Kluyveromyces lactis: one gene and its partner. The protein of the gene in region 2 interacts with the protein of the main gene of each other region in a pairwise test. Links are inferred from orthologs where the notes say so. Each region holds a gene or a part of one and is shown on either strand. Other genes may lie near its edges.

What was found.
Region 1: the proteins of APE1 (region 2) and MXR2 interact in a two-hybrid assay, tested with the Saccharomyces cerevisiae proteins (2 studies listed by BioGRID). The link is inferred for Kluyveromyces lactis from reciprocal best matches to the Saccharomyces cerevisiae genes APE1 and MXR2.

What each region holds. Positions count from the first base shown.
Region 1 is NC_006039.1:103,855-106,221, reverse strand, and holds MXR2 (peptide-methionine (R)-S-oxide reductase), read left to right. Parts: upstream 1-1,267; coding exon 1,268-1,867; downstream 1,868-2,367. Other genes in the region: STE50 (Ste50p), read right to left, coding at 1-410; EMI1 (Emi1p), read right to left, coding at 805-1,065; LSB5 (Lsb5p), read right to left, coding at 1,997-2,367. UniProt on the Saccharomyces cerevisiae protein: Methionine-R-sulfoxide reductase which catalyzes the reduction of methionine sulfoxide (MetSO) to methionine in proteins. Plays a protective role against oxidative stress by restoring activity to proteins that have been inactivated by methionine oxidation.
Region 2 is NC_006042.1:1,256,218-1,259,741, forward strand, and holds APE1 (metalloaminopeptidase APE1), read left to right. Parts: upstream 1-1,464; coding exon 1,465-3,024; downstream 3,025-3,524. Other genes in the region: protein kinase HSL1, read right to left, coding at 1-492. UniProt on the Saccharomyces cerevisiae protein: Resident vacuolar enzyme that catalyzes the removal of amino acids from the N-terminus of peptides and proteins. Also acts as the major cargo protein of the cytoplasm-to-vacuole targeting (Cvt) pathway.

The DNA of each region.
Region 1 (2,367 bases), on a different chromosome or scaffold from region 2:
GGTTGATGTTGAAGTTGTTGAGAAGACTGAGAGGAACCTGAACCAGATCCACTGTTCCTCTTCACGATTTCCAACAAATCCAATCTGAGTTGCGCATAATTAGATTGGAATTCTTGTAACTTTTCATTTAACGTCTGGTGTAAGCCTTTCATAGTCAACACTAATTCTTGTTCCGGTGCTTGTTCTTCCGTGTCAACAAATTTGTTTATGCATGTCTTAAGCCTCACGGCACTAATGCTATCAGGACATAACTCCTTGCAATCGGCAAGTGTGATTTCAGATAACGTAGATCCAGTTATCTTGTTCTCTCGTATTCTATCTAGGATGAATGTATCTCCGTCCGTTAATCCAAGTTCTGCTTTGACTTTCTTGCAAACCTCCTCAGTTGACCATTCATTTGTACCGCTCATTATTTGTTTTTGTTTCTATGCCTGTTCTTAAGAGATGTAAAAACACAATTGAATCACTGGTTAGCCACTGATCAATATGCTTCTGTTGGCTCAATGATATGCTCCACAGACTGAGCTGTTCCCCGGATCTCCTTTCATCAACTTTCTGGTATCACTTGGTTTTATTCAAATAATCGATTAAGTTTAAATATAGATTTTCCCATATTGTCGGAAATCATAAAGAAATGACAAGGAACCCTGCGAATATTCTGACATAAGATTCCTGGGGAACGGGGTAATCCTGTTACTACATTCGCGCTAGAAGTATTTCGATGCAATCGTAACTTTGATTCATTTATTTACAGGACATACGTGTGGAAAATATACAACTATCTATCATTCCAACGGCCATGGTTTATACTCTTTCTTTCCAAATGTCATCGGAGGTACCTTTCCTTTCTTGGTTCTTCTGCCACTGCTCTTTGTGCCATTCCTGTACCTTCACGGGATCTTTACTATGGATCACACAAAACTTAAATTTCTCGAATTCTTTCAGACATTCGTTCATGTGGCCATGTCTGTAGTAATTTCTAAACTGACCTCCTAAACTGAAACATCCTGTTAACTGATCAAATGCATCAGTGCAAGACATTGTTGTTGGATAATTAGATGACATAGTGTTGAATATCGTTTACAGTCTATGATATTTTCTATTTGGTAAGTAGCTGTGGTAATGGTCAAAACTGGGCGGACTGGTTTGCTGCTTCCGTAATCAACCTCCTTCTTTCGTTTTGTAGATTGCTCTTTATTGACAAAGATGTTTAAGCTGTAAATTATAGAATTTTGGATTTTTTCAACTAGCTTTCTGCAAGAAGCCGATGAGCCATGCTATCGTAAAGAGAAAACAACTGGAAACTCGCATTTGTAATCACCATCGGATCTATTGTTCAGCTTTCATTATTTTGTTGATAGGTATAATTCTTAAAGTTTTACCACTCCATAATTGTTTCACACTTTTGATGCTCTCAAGAAGTTGTTCAAGGATTTTATCTTTAAACTTATCAAAGCAATTTTACAGAACAATGAATAGCACCGGTAAATGGAATCCGAGTTTGACTTCAGAACAGCTAAGAGTACTACGTGATAAGGGTACGGAGAGACCAAACACAGGAAATTACTTGCACAACAAACAAACAGGGATTTACTCATGTGCAAATTGCGATTTGCCTATTTATAAGAGTGAGACGAAGTTCGACTCAGGCTGCGGATGGCCTGCGTTTTATGATGCTATACCGGGATCTTTAACTTTTACTCGCGATGAATCGTTTGGGATGGTTCGTATAGAAATATGCTGCAGTAGATGCGGTGGTCATATGGGGCATGTGTTCGAAGGGGAGGGATGGCAGAAAATCTTGAATTTGCCAACTGACCAAAGACATTGTGTCAACAGTTGCAGTTTGAACTTCAAGGAAGGTTAGTGCTCACCAGATTAGGCAAATAGTTGTAGGTTTGCAATTATTTAGCTCACTTAGTTATATTAGGTGTACAATATTACACAATTAAAACAGATGGCTCTACGGTTTTTTACGCTCCGCCAGGAGATCGCATCAATTCTTAATTTTATTGTTATCGCTAAATGGATCATTGGGCTGAGCGGCTCCACCTCTAGATGTGTACGAAGGTATTGATGCCTCATCAGAAATGTAAGCTTCGTTGTCCTCTTGATCATCTTCATCACTGTCACGTTCATTCAAAGAAGCCATGTCTCCTTCTTCGGCTAATTGGTCAAATGCCATCAATGCATTGACCAACTCCTCGTTAGCATGGAGTAAAGCACCTAAAAGTTCACCACCGGTAATCAGTTGCAAATAACGTAGAACCTTCCTTCTCAATGCTCTTGCTTGAACGAATTTGGCCGTACACAGCTCACTGTCGGTGGACTTACTATGAGCTGGAATTGCCAACAAAGCATTCGATA
Region 2 (3,524 bases):
ATAGTCGAACAATTCACCACCTTCAACATATTCCAATACCAAATATAACTCAGATTTGTTTTCCCATACCTCGTAGAGACCCATCACATTGGGGTGCGAGATAAGCTTCATAATGATAATCTCACGTTCGATCCCATATGGCAGCTGTTTGATCTGGTTCGACTTAACGAATTTTTTGGGAACTATCTTAATCGCTGACAGTTTCCCCGTTTCCATATTCTTTGCTAGACGAACTCGACCCGATGACCCTTTCCCCAAAGTCTTACCCAATTTCCAGGGACCTACCGTATCGCGGTTTCTCCTCTTCGAAGTCTTGGTATTATTAACATTAGCATTCGACGATGCAGTCGAAATCTGTGAAAGACGCTTAGTAGCGTCTGTTACTGACTGAACAACCCTATTCAAATGTTCATTATTTGCACGATATGGGACCTGGCCGTGACTAGAATTATCCTTCATTGCCACAACGGCAGCTTGAACAGCACACGACATCTAGCACAAACAAAGCAAGCGAGTGAAATTGAGAAAGCAAAAGAGCAGAAGAGAGCGTGTGTGAGTGTTTAAGTATGATAAGCGAATGTAATGATTGGAAAATAAACACACTCTGTGATCAAATCAATGATTCTTCTTCTTCTTATTATTATTAGTATTCTTCTTCTTCCTTATAATTCAAATGGTAGACCTAGCCTTGTAATTTGCAGTTCCAGCAGAGCGACAAATCAGCGTTACTGATGATGTTAACGTTGCTTGGTGTCTTCTCTCTTGGATGTTGTTTGGTTTCAAATTCTGATTCAAACATTGTTATGTGTGCATATATTTCATGAAAGGGCTTTATTTGGTAAATAGTTGAAGTCATTCTGCACGACTAGTAAATACTAGCAAGACGCGAGTTTGAGCTTTGTTCGCGAAGACGAAGACGCGAAAACGCGAAAATTGGCAGAAGCAGTAAAGTCGAGAACATGGCAAGTTCAACTTGCTGTGATAGATTTGAACCAGGGCTTTCGGCGCTGGTTCAATAATTGTGTTGGTTGCTGCCAGTGTGCTGGCACGGGCACGGGCATCAGCACTTTTGGTTTATCTGAATGAAATATAGGCACAACCACGTGACCTTTGAATTTACACGGCCGAAAACAACTAGATATTGTCACGTGACCTTTATCAATTCTGTTGCCTATACGAACTATGACTTAAACTTATCCATGATATCTTATAGCAACCATCTCGCACCACTCTCCCCTGAGAATAGTAACTAATTGATCTTCAACAACGCTTAATAACGTTACTATCCCTCGATATTCACACTCCGCTCCCAATTCAAGTCATATTTCGCTCGCTGTACAGGACTCTGAATTACTTTTAACGTCTATCGATCACAGTTTCTTCTTCTCCCCTATATTAAAGATAAAGACACTGATAACATAACAGCGCTCAAAGAGACAAACACCATCCGAAAAGTGCAACCCAATGACAGAACACATCGAAATAAGCAAAGAAACTATCAACGCTCTAAGCGACGTCTTGAAACAACTAGCCGTCATTGAACCTAGGTCAAGAGACGTTAACAACCAAAATGACAAGGTTACCAAGAAGTCGACTAGTAAGCAAAGCCAATTCTCGAACAAAGCGACGTTCAGAGAGTACTCGCAAGAGTACATAGATTTCACATATGAAAACCCTACCATTTACCACGTCGTCAAGTATTTTGCCAAGAAATTGGAAGAGAATGGCTTCGGTTATCTCAGTGAAAAGAGTTCTTGGTCCAACGTTGAACCGGGCCATTACTATACGACCAGAAATGGTACAAACCTCTGTGCCTTTGCGGTGGGACCCGAATGGAAACCTGAGTTAGGTGTTGGTATCATTGGTGCCCATATTGACGCCTTAACTGCGAAGTTGAAACCTTCTTCTAAGAAACCTGATGTGGAAGGATTCGAATTGTTAGGTGTAGCTCCATACGGTGGTACTTTAAATGAACTGTGGTTAGACAGAGACCTTGGGATCGGTGGTCGTGTCCTAATTAAGGACCCTGATACTGGTAAGATCAGTTCGCATTTGTGCAACTCGGCTCCACACCCTATCGCTAGGATTCCATCTTTGGCACCACATTTCGGTGCACCAAGTGTTGGTCCATTCGATAAGGAGGACCAAACTGTGCCCGTGATTGGCTACGTCGGTAATGGAGACTACGATGATGATGATGAGGACCACGACGTCGAGGATGAAAAGAAGAGCCCGTTGTACGGCAAACATAGTATCCATTTATTGAGATACATTGCCAAGTTACTATCCGTTAAAGTGTCTGCCATTACGCAATTTGACTTGGACTTATTCGATGTGCAAAAGGGTACTTTCGGCGGTCTTAAAGACGAATTCATCTTTGTTCCTCGTATTGACGACAGAATCTGCTCGTTCAGTGCCATCAATGGGTTGATAGAGCACAAGAAGACTGGCCATAAAAAGGATGGATTTAACGTCGCAGTGCTTTATGACGACGAAGAAGTTGGATCGTTGACAAGACAAGGTGCTAAAGGTGGATTGTTAGAATCAGTGGTCGAAAGAATCGTTGCTAGCAGGGGAAACGACGTCTCTGAGACGCGTACGGCATTCGCCAACTCTATCATCATCTCTGCAGACGTCACACACATGTTAAACCCAAACTTCAACTCAGTATATTTAGAGAACCATAAACCAAAGCCAAACGTTGGGATCACCCTTGCATTGGATTCCAACGCTCATATGGCTACAGACGTTGTTGGGACCGCATTGGTGGAAGAATTGGGTAGATTGAACGGGGACAAGATCCAATACTTCCAAATCAAGAACAATTCCAGATCTGGAGGCACCATTGGTCCTTCTTTAGCATCCCAAACAGGTGCTAGAACCATTGATATGGGTATTGCTCAATGGTCAATGCATAGCATTAGAGCTACAACTGGTAGTAAAGATATCGGCTTGGCAGTTAAATTCTTTAACGGATTCTACAACGACTGGAACCAAGTCTACCAATCCTTTGGTGATTTGTGATTAAAATCATAACTCACCTCCATTTCTATAAACCCCTACTACGGTTACTAATCTTACTGAAATATGATCGTCCTAATGAATTGGGCCCACATGTCTGAATTTGAACTATGAATCTTATACGCAAAGACATGCAATTCATACCTCATCATAGTACTACATAACAAAACTATACCAGTTACACCAGATACAGGATGGCCCTACGAATTACAACCTCCATCAGGACAACTCAAACCTCTGGTCCTTTGGTCTTCTCTGTTTCAAGCCTTTATGGATCACACTGTATTTACATTTCTAAAACTGGTAATTATAGTAACAAAAAAATTTTTGTGTTATATAAATAAAGAACACATATGGTATAAATATAAACTGGACTTATTCACTCAGGGTTTTATGCCAAGCGTTCGAAAGGAAAGAAGCTAACAAAGGATCCAGTAACTCTAAAGTGTTCCAGCGGTAGCATTAGAAAAGACGCTGAGGCAAGATAGTTTAGGAACGCGATA